Nothobranchius furzeri: one gene and its partners. The protein of the gene in region 1 interacts with the protein of each later gene in a pairwise test. Links are inferred from orthologs where the notes say so. Each region holds a gene or a part of one and is shown on either strand. Other genes may lie near its edges.

Region 1 (4,165 bases):
AAGAGTCACTGTGATGAGCAGAAAACATACCTACTTTATTTATAACGTACTTTCAATCATATTTATTTAAAATAATATAAATAATAATAATGATTGAAAGTAGAAGTAAAATTAGTGATAAGAGCTGATCCTGATGTAAAAACATCAATAGCACTTGTTTATCCAAACTGCAAGCAAATATGCATAATTAACTTTTAGTTACTTTTTAAATGACTTGAAACATAATCTTTGGTTTATTGGATTATTCATTGAGACATATTAAATTTAAAAATGACTAATTGGTGTGATAAAATTTTAAGTAATGAGTTTATGTTTGGAAATACTACTTTTAACGAGTTTTAAAAAGCGTTTTTGTGTTTTAAGGAAGAACAGGTACGATACGGGCTAATTATTTTAGCCAATGGCGCTCCCAAGGGGTGGCCATGGCCACTAGATAATTGTTGCCCCTCCCAGAAAAAGCCAGTGTTAATAAATCATATTAGTGTTCACTCAAACCATAAATTGATCTTATTTATTCAAGACACATTTGAAAAACAAAATAAAAATAATATAATTAATGAGTAAAGAAACAATCAGAATAAAAAAATACACATGTTTCTGCTGCTCACTGTTTACATTTTTTTTATCTCCATAGTTTTTTGTGAACACAGCAACAGGTGAATTAAAATAAAAAAGAAATTTTAAAATAAAATTTGAACTAACATTTTAAATAACTGAAATGTAAGTATTTATAAAATTGTTGTTAAATGTTTTGGATACGTACTGTTTTCAACAAATAATAAAAATGAATAAAGGAGAAATGCAATACATCACCGCCTCTCCCAGAGGACCAGTGTGGTGTGCCACCCCAAAAAATTATTTGGCCCTGTCTGCAGTATATATGTCGATGGTGGCCACTCCATCTAAATTTTCTGGAGGCGCCCCTGACTTTAGCTACTCCAGGTGCTGCTAACAATTATCTTTTTCATTCTAATCCAACAAAACATGGCCATTTGAAAAAAGTATTTAAGTAAAAACTATAATAACTTATCTGATATGTCTGTGGTAAAAATACACAGGTGAAAAGTTTCACATTTTCCAGTTATTTTCCAGTTATCAAACGTTTATCAATGAATCTAAATTATATCAAAGTGTTTTTGCGTTCTTGTTCAAATATTTTCTTGGAAAACGTTTGGATTTAATTTCGTTGTGATAAAAAAAACTTCGTATAATTCTGGGGGCGTGGCGCGTGTTTACCGGGGTGGGCGGGGTTTGGTTGAATATTCATCGGCGCGTGGCTGACAGCACTCGCGAAAGAGGAGGAGAGAGCAGAAGAACATCAGCGGCTCCACCACAGCAAGCCGGGTGGAGAAGGATGTGTAATTCAGAAGAAATCTGACGTTACGTCGCTTCCGCTTCACTTTTCCAGGAGGAGCGCTTGAAAACAAACCTTCTCGTTTTTTAATGAGTTGATTTTGAAGTGTCGCGCGACCAGGGAGCTACTGTCCATCATGATGGAGTCTCTCCTAGACAGTTTTGTGGTGGACAAACTCTATCCCCACGCAGGGACCAACCTGTTGGACCTGGAGGAGCTGAGCGACGGTGATTTCCTCACGAACGTGGTGAGTTCAAGTCTCTTTAGCGTCTCCCTGCTGGAACCCAAACGCACCCCGCGGTGTTTGTTCCGCCCGCAGCCGGACCTCGGGAGGGTGGTGGATTTATGAGATCCTGACACACATCCGGGGCTCATTTACCGTGTGTGTGTGTGTGTGTGTGTGTGTGTGTGTGTGTGTGTGTGTGTGTGTGTGTGAATTGCGCGCGCGTGTGTGTGTGTGCGTGCGTGCGTGCGTGCGTGCGTGTGTGTGTGTGACTACTAGAGGAAACTGGAAACATGCTGGCTGGTTACTGGTTAACTTGTTTCGACTAGCAGGTGTTGCATTATTCAGGTACTTGATCAGGTTTATTGCCTCAGCCTCCTAGCAAGGCATCTTTCACAATGAAATAACTCACCACATTGATTTTAGATGCTGCACGAGATTTTATGAAATGAAATAAAGTCACAGATCCCAGCAGTTTGCATCAACCCAGGCTCCGATCCCCACAGATGGATGTCCTGTCTCCTAGTCAACTGATAATTAGCACATTTTTCACATGAAACTTTTCATTAAAAGTTACTGTTTCACTACAATCACACCTATGACTGCCCCTGAGAAGTGTGACTAATTGCATTTAACCTCCTCATAATCAGTAATGAGTCTGCATGTCTGAGTTTTTAAAGTGGAAACACACTGAGAGGTTAACGGCAGCAGGAATCGTCACTTTTTCTTTTTCCACATTGTGTTAACCCATCTTTTTTTGGGTTGACTTCTATTCTAGTCCGTGAGTCAGGCGTGCAGTCTGCTTGTGGTTTAAACTCTTTAAACTCCTCTGTCTGCTCTAAATAGGGAGTCCACTAGGCTGGGCTGTCCTACTGAGGAAACAGGGAAAGAATGGATCAGTATGGCACACTTTAGTTCAGTGAATGAACCAAGTTTTAATACAAATGTGTGCAAAAGATGCTGTTAGGCAACAGAAAGATGGTCCTGAAAACCAGTGACTGATTCCTAAGATATTTTTCCTCCAGTGTCTTTGTTTGCTAGCAACCTGTTCTTGGCTAATTTGAGTCAGACTCCCAAGAAAGTAATCATCAGCAACTGGGCTAACTTTTAGAGTCACTCCAAGTCAAGATGGCTGCTAAAGGTAAAACCAAGGGCGGCCAACTCAGACGTGACAGAAATTGCAGTTCCCCTCTCATCCGCTAGGGGCTAGCACCAGAAAGAGGAAGTTAAAAATGCCAACTTCACAGCAAGGGTAAACTAGCATAGAAGCTAGACTGTCTTTTGCCAAAGAAAGTAGACGGTCTAGCTGTCTAGACCCTTGTAATGACCCTTATTGTGACTTCACACAAAAGAACATTTGCGTTGAATCCCCCTCACCTGTTTACACTGGAGGAGTGGTGGCTCTACTCGAAGCCCCTCCCTTATATATGAATTGCTCACCCCACAGCAGCCAATCAGGTAATGTTGGGCGGGGCCAGCAACAGCTTATTTACATTAAGGTGGCAGAACCCTGAAATGGCTAATTCTGGACGTTACCCAGCCAACTGTAAACGATAAAACTGCTAATCGCTTTATGAGAGAGACTTTATGTAAAGAACTTCATATATAACCATAACTTAATATAAGTTATAATACTTCCCCTTAAATTTCTCATTCACTTGTTTGCTGTGGTCGTCTCTGTGGAATAAACGCTCTCGAGCTTCTGTACCAGGGGTTAGAGGTTAGTCTGAGGATGTTACTCATTCATATTCATGATATGCAAAAATCTTGCCTTTAATTGGCTAAATCAACTCGTCTGCTGCCTTTGTTCACTTTTTTTTTTTTTTTGTAAAAGTGGAACATTGATGTTTTATCTCAGCTAATGACACAAGCCTGTGTCCCGCCATGCTAACAGCTTTTATTTTCATTTGTTAAGCGTTTTATGTGTTGGGAGAGTTGTACAGGACCATCATGCAAAGACTGTGATAGTGGTTTGTGTTGATTCAACTGTGCGTTTACTGTAGATTATTATAGGTGTTTACAGGTTTTCCAGTTCACCTAGGTCCTTTCTTTACTTTAAAGCTTTTATAACAAATCTGCAAACAAGCTAGGTTTTAAACACAAACATGGTCACGGTACACTCACCCACGCCCTCGGGTATCTTCTCTGGATCCGCCACAACTGTAAACGAACACCCGCATAGCCAGAAGAAACGAGATAGCGCTAAACACCAGTCGCTGTTTTCAAGGTCCAAACGTCTTTTGTTGTCCGTGACTTCAAATGGTGATTTTCTTTTTGGGACTCCGATAGTTTGTCCTGAAGCTCAGTGGTAGCAGCCGGCTCTTTCTCCTCAGATGTTATTGAGCAGAGAACCTCTCACACCAGTGGTGTTCTGCTGCTGAATACGTGAGTGTGTGATGAGTGGAGGACCCAGGAAAGTGTGGCGGTTCGGTAACACCGACAACCGGATGGTCCAATAGTTGCGTTTGGTCCAAAACGTGTTATTGGTAGACGTTTTTAGACAATTGCAAGAAAGCCATCCATCCATCCATCCATCCATCCATCCATTGTTTTCGGCCGCCTATCCAGGGTTGGGTCACGGGGGCAGC
Region 2 (4,213 bases), on another chromosome or scaffold:
GTAAGGAGCGCTGGAGGACCGCGGAGGAAAGGTGTGTCTGCCTGGCAGACACGGAGGAGGGGCGTAAAAACCCTCATGAGCTGGTGCGCCTCTGCCTACAATGAGATTCATTCTTCCTTACATTTACTTTTTTAAATACACGAATGTGCAAAAAAACTGAACCTTTTCCCGAGTTCCTCATGTTTTGCTCCAAGCAGTGTTTAACTTTTATACTAAAATAGAAGACTTTATTTATTTTTTCATTTGAGTTTATGAGTGAACTTTAACTTTGTACTTTTCTAAATCCAATTTTATTTGTCTTTTAAATTTACTTTTTTAATCTACCTTTATGTTTTTTCCTTGCACCTGGAAAGCACACTGAAATGTGTATGAAATGTGCTTTGTTAATAAAGCTGCCTTGCTTTTTAAGGGGTCATGATCATTTTTTCTTCAGGTTTTTTGAAAGTGATGCGGGCGTTGTACCGGATTGTCGTGGTGAAGAGAGAGCTGAGTCAGAAGGCAAAGCTCTCGATTTACCGGTCGATCGACGATCCTACCCTCAACTATGGTCATGAGCTTTGGGTAGTGACCGAAAGAACGAGATAGCGGTTACAAGCGGCCAAAATGAGTTTTCTCCGCAGAGTGGCTGGGCTCTCCGTTAGAGATAGGGTGAGAAGCACAGTCATCTGGGAGGGGCTCGGAGTAGATTCGCTGTTCCTCCACATCGAGAGGAGCCAGTTGAGGTGGCTCGGGCATCTGGTCAGAATGCCTCCTGGACACCTCCCTGGTGGTGGTTAAAAAATGTGTTAAGTAGTATTGCAAACTAATTATTTGCATTTTATCTTCAAGAAAACTTTAAACTGCCACATGCAGAACTGGATGTTAAGAGACAGATCTGCATCATGAAGTGCACTAGTTAAAACATTTCTTTACATTTCTATTGTTAGATTTGTCAAACTTGTGTTCTGACAAAAACTGTTTGAGGTGAAAAAGAGAGAGAAAGATGACCTATTGAGCCTACTTGTGGCTTGTGTTGTATTTGATCTTTAAAGTTAGCATATGAAAAAATCGAGACATATTTTAGCTTTAGTGGAAAACGGTGAAATTAACTCGTATTTACGTTTCAAACGACTTGCACGTGAGAGGCGGGAACTATCTTGAGCTTTGTGTAACCTTTGCTTTATGTCACGTTTCCGGTTGTTGCGAAATTACAAGGAAATTTCAAATGTTTCGACCGAGCAGCAAGCAGTTAGATGGCTAGTTGTATTGTTTGACTGTCGGACTGCTGCAGCGTGTTAATACCCAAAAGTGAGTGAATAATACTCTCAATTCTAACCTCCAAACGCCAGTCAAATTGTCTCTGCGTGACCAATCGATGGTTAGCACTCAGTGACGTCACGTAGTTTGGTTCTGGTTCAGACTGGGAGTGTCGGAGGAATGACCACTCCGATAAGACTGCCCTGCCCTTTAAAAAACTTATATCACCTCATTATCAGCATGCCAGAGAACCACTAAGTGTGTGAAGCTTTCGTTTCTTGAACTAAAGGTTTTAACGACTTTACTTGCGCTACGTGACGCAGACAGCTGAAAGGAAAGGTAAGAATGAAGCTACGTCCACTTGACCTTAGGCACACGCGAACCGAAAGTGTTAAGCTAACCCTTTTTCCGCAAAAAATTGATCTAACTCTTTTCTGTGTAATAAACTACTTTCTTGCGTTTAGTTTCCTCCAATGGCAATACATTTACACGTTAGCTAGCTGTTTTTCGTTCTGCCACAACAAGAACCTGTGACAAAATACCGAACTTTGCGTGGAGAGTTTAAAGTTCCTACAGTTATTTTGCATGTTAACGCCTCTTGGAATACAAACATGTTTACCGTGAAATAAACTCTTAGCAAAATGCGCACGTCTTTTAAATTCATGTTTGCACGTAGTGAGTCTAATAAACAATAGGAATACCTTTTTACCTTAAATAGATATTCTTGATTTTTACGACACAACCTGCAGCCCCGAAATGGATTATGGATTAAAGTAACATTTCATTGTTTAGTTCTTTTCTAATGTAGTTGAAGATTTGTTTTTACCTTTTTTTAGCTGCTAAGTTTCGGCTAACGCTGTAGCACTCGGAGCACATTAAATTAACATCCCTTTAAATGTTATTTGATAAACCAAAAAGATGAATAGGGCGCAGTCCTCAGATTATTTAATCTCGTCAGCAATCACGAGTTTCAAAATAAAAGCATACATAGCTCAAGACTCCTAAATTCAGACATTAAACTCATAAATGTTTAACACAATCTGCCCCAAGATTACCTAATGTATTACTTCATTTTTATTTTTGATATATTTCTGATTCAAAATTGTGTTTGAGAAACTTGGTAAACAATGAAGTAGCATTTTTGCTTTATATCTTCATTTTTTGCCACCAAAAAGGAAACATTTACACTAAAACAGAATTTAAAATGTTCAGAAATTCTCATGTATAATTTTGGGCAACACAAATGCTTTTTTTATCAACAGAGAATTGCTAAAATAAATATTAAAATTTTCAATTAGAAATAGCTTATTTACCTACACACATTTCTCAGAAAAAAAACCCGTTTTATAATGCATTATCTTGGATCTTTTTTTTAATGTCTGCATCTGTAACTCATCTGACAATGTTATTCACCAAAGTTCTTCATGTACAGAGAGATGAGGTTTAGTAGAATGATTAACCAACCTGCTCTCATCTCAGACCATGTGGCTGCCTCTGATTGGGATGACCGCCCTCCCACACATTGGAGGAATCTATGGGGGTTTCATTACACGCAAACAGGTGAAGACGTGGTACACCACCCTGAACAAACCCTCGTGGCGCCCCCCAAACGCAGCCTTTCCGGTGGTGTGGACATGTCTGTACACAGGGATGGGGTAAGAGCCACACGGACAGACTCCGACCACCTTTGTTCCTTAAGCTAATGGATTATTTTTGGACTCTGTCTTCCAGTTATGGTTCCTACCTGATCTGGAAAGAACTTGGAGGTTTCACTGAGGATGCACTGGTTCCACTGGGGCTGTATGGGCTGCAGTTGGCTCTGAACTGGGCATGGACTCCTATTTTCTTTGGAGCGCACAAGATAAAATGGGCAAGTTGAACCTTTTACATTTGATTAAGGATTGAGAAATGCAAAAAAAAAAAAGTTACTTTTGAGTGTTAATTTCCATTAGATGCCCTTTTTCTATTAAATGTAGGCAATGGTCGAGATTGTGTTCCTGACTGGGACTGTTGGAGCCACCATGGTGTCTTGGTATTCTATCAGCCGCACCGCCACTCTGCTCCTGGCCCCTTATCTGTCCTGGCTCTGCCTCGCCACCACCCTCAACTACTGCATATGGAGGGACAACCCTGAGACAAAAGAAGAGTAGTGGACATATCTGTGCTTCAGCTATTAAAACTCTGATTACAGTCAATATTCTGTTTATAAATCCTCGCTCAGAAGCTTTCCTATTTCTAGATTCAGCTGATATCAAAAGATCGGACCTATGATTGTTTGTGTTTTTGTTAGCTAATGCGACACAAGCGACTCAGAAATGACTTGTTTCTGTTGTTTTATTTTTTTTATTGTTAAAGCTAAAGGTGCAATAGGAGGTGGCTTTCTTGCTTTTCGAACAGCTACTTCTTTTGAAAACGTAGAAATCTAAGATCCAACCCTGGTCAGAGCAGCAGTTTGATGTAAGGAATATGAGCTGGTCCTTAAACATAGGACGTTCACAATGATTGACAAAAGATTTGATTTAGTGGTTGGCATCAGTATGTGAAGAGCACTTCAAGCAATATCAATTCAAATTCAAAAATACTTTATTAATCCCAGAGGGAAATTGATATAGCAAAAAACTCCAGAAAAAATCTCCTACCCCACCTTTAGCTACAAATTCACACATTAAATTTGCATAATTAACAGATTAGCGAATAATCATGTTTTGGGCGACATGTTGAAGTGAACATTCTTTTGTATTTGAGCTTTTTTAATGAAAAATCTCCCAGATGTGAATTTATTGTTCTTTTAATTATTATTCACATTTTTCACATTAAAAAAATTGACCACAAAACCTGAAAACATTTATTCTTGATAGGACTGACAGATCTATAATTTAATTCCTGTTTCACTTTTTAAAAAAATCTAGATTTATCAGATGTTTCAGTCATGAAGCAAAGTAATTAAATGTAGCAACTCAAATTTGAGTAAATATCT
Region 3 (4,376 bases), on another chromosome or scaffold:
ATGTTTTTGTTTTTCACAGGGCACCAATATATCGTTTCTCTAATCTTCGCCTCCAAGAAGACAATAACGGGGGTGCAGCTGATGTTGAAAGTGCCACCAGCAGTAATGGAACAGCCTGCCAACCAGATTCAGATGATGTAAGAGCCATTTATGACCAACTTAGGACTTCTGCTCTTTATTTTGTGGATTTATTTTTACATGATTTTTTTCCCCAGGATCTTCTTCACTGACAAAGAGACGACGGCACAAAAATAGAGACTTCTGTGAATATGAATGTAAAGAATGTAAAAATAACTACTGCTAATTTATTAAACTCAGCCTTTTTTTTTCTTTTTTTCCCTTCTTTCTCAGTTTGCCTTGACTTCTGTTGTGACTTGTACGGCATTTTTAATGTTATTTATTTGTATTGATTGTTTTGCACCAGGTATGTTTCTTTCTTTTTTAAGAAAACCTGAAATAATCCTGTACAAAATTCTTTTAAATCATCTGACTGATTTGTTGCTGTTTAGAGTAGTAGCCCAAAAATATGAATAAGCATTTTTAGTCAAGTCTGGTGTGTATTTAGCATTGGAAAAAAAAGAACTATAAACAGTAAAGTATGTTCATTTACAAAGCCATATTTTTTAAATTTCTATTTAATAATTAATTTGCATAATTATCATTATAGATAGTATCGTCTTAATATACATGACAGAATACATTTGAGTCAATAGATCCATCCAGTTTATTCCCTGAGCAGTGTCTTGTTCTCCGCAAGAGGGCAGTCGCAACGCGTCTCATCTGTCTCAACCATAGACTGTACATGGTCTCAACCAGAAGAAGAAGGGCTGCGTCTACGTGAACAGAGATTTTCTATAAGAGATGACTCACGCGCACAAAATCTTCCAGCGAGATGAAGTTAGATGTCTGCTCCATGGGCCACTTATAGCAATATGATTTTTTTAATGTAATTATTTTGTCATCGATATATATTTATTTTCGAATTCGCATATTTATTTGTTTTTTTGTGGAAACGAACACTTTTGCCTAGCCATTAAAAAAATTTACGTTTCCGTGAGGGGTTTTAATAATAAAATTTTCATTTGTCAAAAGTCTAATAATATTATCGTTGACATTCAGGAACCTTTCCTGAAATGACCAGATGAAACAACGTTTGCCGTTATTTGTTCATTTATTTATTATCTGTATATTTGGTGTTTCAAACTGTGTCAAATAAATACAAAAATGTAATTTGTGTGTGTGTGCGTGTGTGTGTTTTATTTGTCCTACAGTTTTTGCTCTAAAAAAGTTAAACCATTTTTTTGTAGTTGCTATATAGTTAGTATTCAACCCATTTTTTAAAATTTGTTCAAGGTTTCACAAAACAAGGAAATTGCCTCACTAACGCTTTCCCCCGCCGTTCGTTATTTAATTTGTGTTGTTATAATAGACCGGAATTTGTAACAGATAAACTTGTATTCTTTAAATATATTTGTAATTATATGGTGCGTGTTGATTTGCATGACTCCAACACCTAACCTCGTTTTGTTCCGGATTCTGTTCCGCCACCCTCCTTTTATTTCCATACGTAGTGAACCATAAGTCGTTATTTGACATCTCTGAAACTGAGCCGTCAAGACCGGAAAAGCTCAGGTTAACGCTTCCACCGGGGGATCTGTAGTCTCTGTGGTTACCGAGCAGGTAAAAAGCCTTCAAAACAGCGCCTAAAAGCTCATATTCACATTTTGCTGTTACGGTGTTACTATTACAGTTCAAGCACGGGTTAACAGCAGTAATTTGACACAAACTTTGTATCTAGTTTACGACTCGCCAAGTCACTAACTAGAGAGATGCTACACTTGTGCTAGCTTTAGCCGTTTAAAAGTCTAACTTTGGTGTTTCACGTTGTCGCCACTCACTCCTGACCTTTTAAATGGTCTTATTTTAAAAAGTAAGTGTTTTAGAATTCATAAAGTTGGGCATATTTGGGGAAATTTACCTTTATGTTGTAGTTAAGCTAATGCTAACATTCCCCAAATAGTAGCGCTTCCTTGTTCATTAGCGTAGATTTGCGTCAGGTGTGAAAATCAGTTAGAAACAAGACTGAAGTGTTCATGTTCTGCTGTTGAAGGTGGCTGACTAGCTGCGAGGAGAAGTGGCCCGAGGCTTCCCAAGATGGTCAGAGCCGGGGGTAGGAGCATGTCTTCATGTTGTTTATTCATTCACAGCTGGTCAACTCAAATCTTTGTTATAACTGGGCTGTTTTTTTTTTACAGGTGTTTTGAAATTAGCTGCGCTCATATTAGTGTTCCTGCTAGCCGTCTTTATGGCTTTTCAGCTTCTGGAGATCAACGTGGATTTTAAAATTGGCAGCATGGGTGAGTAGCCTACAAGGTGTTAGTCATTACTAAAGGCAGCACACGGAAGTGGGATGGTAAAAGTGAGGCAATCGTCCCAACAGGCTCGTGATAGCTCTTATCTTTTGTGTCACTCATGCTGTTCATTGCCTCTGTATAATTGTGTTTAGAGAGATGCTATTTACTCAAGAGCCTGGCTTGGTTGACTTATTTTTAAAATTATTCATAAAGTCCTTCATTTATTCTTGTTCTTTTAACTAAATGGGTGAATTTTTAGTGAACACATTTCTTGGAACTGGACACCAGAACCTACTGGTTCTTGGTTATTCTCTTCAGGGCACAATGGGGTGCATATTTCAAATATTTAGCCTTTTCTAGCGCACCTTTTTTTTTTAAAAAAAAAAAATAAGCGTGTCACTAAAGGCTTTTTCACGTCATCGGGTTTGTCAGAGCGTGAAATCCCTTAATTCACTCAGAACATTTCATCTCATGAAAAGGTTCTTGTGCTTGACAGTGAAAAATGCAGCCAGCGTTATTTCGTCTGTCACTGAACTCAGAGCTGTGGCTGATTTAAAAGATTTTCCTACGTTTGTAATACATTTTTTCCCCCCATTTTCAGCTAAATCTTTGCCGGTGGTTACAGGACGTAAGTATCCCTCACATTCCCCTGTCTTTTCACTTTTTTCCTCCTCTACCTGCTTACTTTAAAGTATTTCTACTCCTTTCTTTTGGTTTTTCCTTACCAGTCGACACAAAAGGGTAATGATTTGTTTATTATGTTGTGCTGTCGTAAGAATGCTTTTAAATATGGTAAATGGCCTGTACTTGATATAGCACCTTCTAGAGTCCTGGAGCCCCTCAAGGCACTTTACAACAGTCATTCACCCATTCACACACACATTCACACACTGGTGGGGATGAGCTACAATGTAGCGGCAGGTGTCCTGGGGCGCACTAACAGAGGCGAGGCTGCTGAGCACTGGTGCCACCGTTCCCTCCGACCACCACCAGCAGGCAACGTGGGTTAAGTGTCTTGCCCAAGGACACAACGACAGCGACAGACTGAGCGGGGCTCGGAACCTGCAACCTTCCAATTATGGGGCGAGCACTTAACTCCTGTGCCACCGTCGCCCCGGTAGACATTACTAAGTTAAAACACGGACAGGCATGTGATATTGTAAATCTTCTAATACAGTAATTTACTCAAGCTCATCAAGCTCCAGGCCTTTATTGGAAGGAGGGCCAGAATTGGAGGTAGGACTCAATTTCTATTTGAGCAAAATGAATACCAGTAGAATGAATAAAAACGGGGTGTGTATTTGAACCTATAAAATACTAGGTTCATTTATTGAAAATGTGCAGTTACCATAATGTGGTACGGTTTGCATATAAAACATTAACAAGGCTAAATTACAGTAGGGAAATACTGTATTGTAACAAAACAGTAGAAAACATACCTGTACTGCATTTTAAACGTTATTAAATACCGGTATTAGAAAAGGCAACCTTGCCGCTTCAAAGTTGAATCGTTTCGTCTCGTTTGGGTTGTAGTAAAAAATAAAATAAAACCCTCAAATTCAGTTCCTCTTCGGCTCCGCACCTGCATGGTTAAAGTTACCCTCACGGTCTATCACTGGCAAATCAAAAGTGAGACGGATGACACAACCGCCCCCCCAGTGGTACTTGCTTGTTACCACATCCCATCTGGCCACAATAAAAAAAAAACGGCCGTTATTCACCTCCGCCGACTCCGACACCGGCCAAAATGTGATACCCGACCGTTAATTGAATACAGGCCAATATTAGAGGATTTACGGTATTCTGTGTTTTTGACGTTATGCTTTGATATGTTAATAGAGGTTTTTTTTTTTCTGTGTTTACAGCAACAAAGCCGGCCATTCATAAATGCGGGCTGTCCAAGGCGTGTCCCGCTGGACATTTTGCCTTCAAAGTTACGAGTGGCGCCGCCAGCGTGGTCGGGCCTAGGATGTGCCTGGAAGACAAACTGTATGTGACATTTTACTTGCAGCCTTCTAGAAA
Region 4 (4,083 bases), on another chromosome or scaffold:
TATTAGAGACGGGAACAAGCGCTGTTCAGCCAAAGTTTCATAATTTCATAAAAAGAAAATTTTTCCAAGTGAAACATCCCTCAGAGAGACCGGGTTTCCAGACCGCTTCAGTGGGAGGAAATCTTATCGCATGCACCGTGGTTCTGCACTGCGCTGCGAACCCCTCTACAGATCTTCAGCCCACTGTCCACCGCGGGCGCTCCGAGCCTCGCTGAACACAGTGTCCAGTATAAAGCTCTGATGGGAATCAAGTTACCGCTGTGATGTGCGTAACGATTAAAATATCAGCTCATCCATGCGCATCAGTGTGCGTCGGGGTAATTCTTTCAAAACAACTAACATCCTTGAGTTTATCCATCAAAATAAACAGTCAAATGGAAATATTTGTAACCTGCCATTTAACTGTTTACCTTCCTGTGAAGATTGTTGCAAAGAGAAACAACTAAACTTGATTAACCCCAGAGCCACGCGCACTGCGCTGTACTTCCTGGCTGTAAATGAGGGGGAAACAATTTAATTGGATCCTTTTCTTTTCAACATGGTTTAATGTCAGTCGCGTGTCCAGATCCTGTAAAATGGGGTGGCCCAGGTGAGGCACAACTTTGTGCATGGGTGGCACCAAAGGTTATGGTCCCCCCCCCCCCCCCCCCCCCAAGCCTTTTGTGGACAACAAAAATCCTATTTAAAGGTAAATTAGTGTGTTGGCACCTGGGGTGGCCATTCAGATTCCAAGGGTCGCATGTGCTACCCCAGGCCACTCCCTGGACATGCCCCTGTTTAATGTAAAGTTTCATTCAGTACAAACTTTAGTTACACCAATCTAAGAGACAGAGCCCGGATTTGTATTCTGAACAGTTTAAACATGTTTAAAACGGAGACATACGTGACACGTCTAAAGTTCAACTATTATGGAAATTAAACTAACAAGATGAATAACATGAAATTATTTCAGGCACAGAAAACATCCCCCACACTTTTGAAAAGCTTGCAACGCGCCTGGGTTACAATACATAACCAACGTTAGCATGCGCATCAAAGCCTAATGAATTGGCTTCCGAAATGGAGCTGTTAAGGAGCTTGGATTTTTTAAAATATATTTGTAGTTCAATCGTGTTGCATATAATCAATATTTGATACTTTTTTAGTTTTAGGTTAATTAAAGGACCTCAAACTTCTGTGTTCTGTAACAAAATACGTACTACAGATACGCTGCCCTCGTTGCATTATGGGAATAGTGGTCTGAAAACGAGCCTTGTAGATGCGTAGATCGGACTTGCACACAACAATACCCAGGGTTCTTTGCGCTGAGGCTACGTCAACCGAAATCACAGTTGTTTTTTCCAACATGGCGTCGCTGGGAAGGAGGCGCGGTGTCCCAGTAAGCAGGGAGAGGTCAGTTACTCTGCTTTTTTGCCATAAAGCGAAATTATTTTCATAACTGACAAAGTTTAGTCGATGTCACATCCTGTTCTCGAACATGCATCTAATTTATGATTCAAACTCCAGTGCCAACATAAAAAAGGCGTTATTTTACTCCATGGTTAGCTAACATTAGCTGGCGGCTAGCTTCCGTTGTTAGCAGGGAACAAACTTATCTAGTCATGGGTTGTTTTCAATGTTTCAGTCAGACTTAATAACGGTGGAAGAAGCTGCAATGGACGGTGCTTTGGTACCGACACTTCTGTGACATTGCGGGGTTCATAAAATGCCCAAATCAGTCTCTGCTGCGGCTGTGCGCCGTTTTAAGTCGAGCTACTCTGAAAGTAAAAATGGTCCTGAAGTTCGTTGGTCAGTCAGTCCTCCAACTTCAGAATATGTTGTTCCCATCCGCTCTGGTACACTTGTCCCAGACTAAAATACATTGAAATTATTATGTCTGGTATTTGATTATCCTTCACTCTGTATTTTACCATCAGCACGCTGTCATTGGAAGTTGGGATTGTTTGTCCTTAACGCAGCGCTCACTGGAGGACCTCAGTGTAGACCATCATCAGCCTCTCGCGTTTTACCTATCTTATGTCTATGGTTGTAACATAAGGTGAAGAAACAAACAGGTTTGAAAATGGGACCAAACTTGTCAATAAACAACCAACCTGGTAACTTTGTGTGAATGTGTGATGGCAGCGTGTGAAGTTATTTAACTGAATTTCTTCTCTTCACCAACAAATTTTGATACTAAATATTATTGTTTATTTGAGGGGAACGTGTGTAGCTTTATGGCACTTTAAATATTAATTAACGAATTTATGGAAACTACTATGAAAGCAATTGTTCTTACTGCTTAAAATCCTTGAATGCCTGATTTTAATGTGGTATTTTCAAGTAAATAATGTAGTAATTAGTTTCAAAATCATTCAAGCTGTGCCTGAAAATGGTTATAGGATAATATTTACATAAGAGAAATGGTTCAATAACTGATCATATATGTACTGCTGCTCATTAATCGTCCCTAATGTAAGATGTTTAAAGTCCTGAAAAACTTTAGGGAAAGGACTTAAAGTGCTTGAATTTGTTTGGGCAAATATATAAGAACCCTAAAAATGTTTTGCTTCTTTAAAGAACATTTAAACAGCACAAATAAGTGTGGGTTTCCTGTCTTATCAGTTTGGGTGGGATTGTGACGCACACTTTTTTTCTTCTTTTTTCGTGCAAGCAGCCGCAAGACATTGAACCTTTCTCAAAATTCGGGTTAAAATAGATTAAAAGTAGAAGTGGATATGAGCTATTTATTAATATTTCTCCGTTCAATAGTGAGAGATATTTGCTCAACTTTAGTCAAACCACAGACAGGAAATAAGTTAAGTTTGCCAAGTTCATATTTATTTATAACAGGTTAGTAAACACTTATTTTATTATTTACAAAGACAGCACACAAACTGTTCAAAAATATCTCCCAAGAATGGGAATAAACTTAATTTATAATCAAGTAAAAACCTTCATTATGCCTCAATGTTTACATTTTAATAAGAAAGTAAAACTAAACGGGTCATAGGTATTTTAATAAAAAGCAACAGCCACAGAATGATGGTATTGTGGTTAAAACAAAGCAGTTGGTTACAAAAATAATATTGAGTTTTCTTATTAATTTCCTGTCTTGTTGTCTTTTCATTACCAGCCTGTGTATTTGATTGTGTGCAGGGCAGTGATGGCTGCGTCAGACTGCTACATTGTACATGAGATCTACAATGGGGAGAATGCGCAGGACCAGTTTGAGTACGAGCTGGAGCAGGCACTGGAGGCCCAGTATAAATATATTGTTATTGAGCCCACACGGATCGGGGATGAGACGGCCCGCTGGATTACGGTGGGGAACTGCCTGCACAAGACGGCTGTGTTGTCAGGCGCTGCATGCCTCCTGACGCCACTTTCGCTGCCTGCAGAATACTCGCGCTATGTAGCATTGCCAGCTGGTGCCCTCAGTGTGGCCTGTGCTGCGCTCTATGGGATTTCATGGCAGTTTGATCCCTGCTGCAAGTACCAAGTGGAATACAACAGCCAAAAACTCTCACGGCTGCCCCTGCATACACTGACCTCCTCAACACCCGTGGTTTTGGTACGCAGGGATGACGTCCACAGAAAGAGACTCCATAATACGATAGCACTGGCTGCTCTGGCGTATTGCGCCAAGAAGATCTATGAACTCTATGTGGTATGAGTGCACTCTGAAGATTTAAGAACCATCAAAAAAAAAAGCAAAAAAAAAAAATTAACAAAACAACATACTCACCCCCGGATGTTAGAAAAGTGGAAGTCCCGTTCAGGCTCAGCAGTTAGCTCTACAGAGGGTGGGTGCTTCCACTTGGAACATTGATCAGAGGGATATAGCTAAAACTAGAAGGGATTTTTTTCCATGTACTTCTATGTGACAGCAGCACACCTATTGCCATAGTACTTTCGCGCCAGCCCCCTTACCCCCTCCACCCGCTTCTCTGTCACACAAGCTTGTGCAAAAGGACATGACCTCAGTTCCTCTGAAAGGAATGGTTTTGGATTAAAAATGGAACAGACACATTTGTTGTACAATGCTCTTTCCCCTTTCCCTTGTAGTTTTGCTGTACCCGTTTTTTGCTGATCAAGTACATT

The links.
Region 2: the proteins of creb3l1 (region 1) and tspo interact in binary tests that used the Homo sapiens proteins (3 or more experiments, as listed by UniProt). The two-hybrid records come from large-scale screens. The link is inferred for Nothobranchius furzeri from reciprocal best matches to the Homo sapiens genes CREB3L1 and TSPO.
Region 3: the proteins of creb3l1 (region 1) and fam3c interact in binary tests that used the Homo sapiens proteins (3 or more experiments, as listed by UniProt). The two-hybrid records come from large-scale screens. The link is inferred for Nothobranchius furzeri from reciprocal best matches to the Homo sapiens genes CREB3L1 and FAM3C.
Region 4: the proteins of creb3l1 (region 1) and tmem11 interact in binary tests that used the Homo sapiens proteins (3 or more experiments, as listed by UniProt). The two-hybrid records come from large-scale screens. The link is inferred for Nothobranchius furzeri from reciprocal best matches to the Homo sapiens genes CREB3L1 and TMEM11.

What each region holds. Positions count from the first base shown.
Region 1 is NC_091754.1:48,088,292-48,092,456, reverse strand, and holds the start of creb3l1 (cyclic AMP-responsive element-binding protein 3-like protein 1), read left to right. Parts: upstream 1-1,285; 5' UTR 1,286-1,490; coding exon 1,491-1,601; intron 1,602-4,165.
Region 2 is NC_091743.1:66,946,735-66,950,947, reverse strand, and holds tspo (translocator protein), read left to right. Parts: upstream 1-1,375; 5' UTR 1,376-1,575; intron 1,576-2,715; 5' UTR 2,716-2,718; coding exon 2,719-2,891; intron 2,892-2,967; coding exon 2,968-3,106; intron 3,107-3,212; coding exon 3,213-3,386; 3' UTR 3,387-4,070; downstream 4,071-4,213. UniProt on the Homo sapiens protein: Can bind protoporphyrin IX and may play a role in the transport of porphyrins and heme. Promotes the transport of cholesterol across mitochondrial membranes and may play a role in lipid metabolism, but its precise physiological role is controversial.
Region 3 is NC_091741.1:44,500,939-44,505,314, reverse strand, and holds the start of fam3c (protein FAM3C), read left to right. Parts: upstream 1-1,538; 5' UTR 1,539-1,680; intron 1,681-2,110; 5' UTR 2,111-2,154; coding exon 2,155-2,170; intron 2,171-2,255; coding exon 2,256-2,357; intron 2,358-2,955; coding exon 2,956-2,982; intron 2,983-4,219; coding exon 4,220-4,343; intron 4,344-4,376. Other genes in the region: sortilin, read left to right, coding at 20-137, 216-230. UniProt on the Homo sapiens protein: May be involved in retinal laminar formation. Promotes epithelial to mesenchymal transition.
Region 4 is NC_091752.1:51,142,678-51,146,760, reverse strand, and holds tmem11 (transmembrane protein 11, mitochondrial), read left to right. Parts: upstream 1-1,245; 5' UTR 1,246-1,258; coding exon 1,259-1,392; intron 1,393-3,138; coding exon 3,139-3,655; 3' UTR 3,656-3,809; downstream 3,810-4,083. UniProt on the Homo sapiens protein: Plays a role in mitochondrial morphogenesis.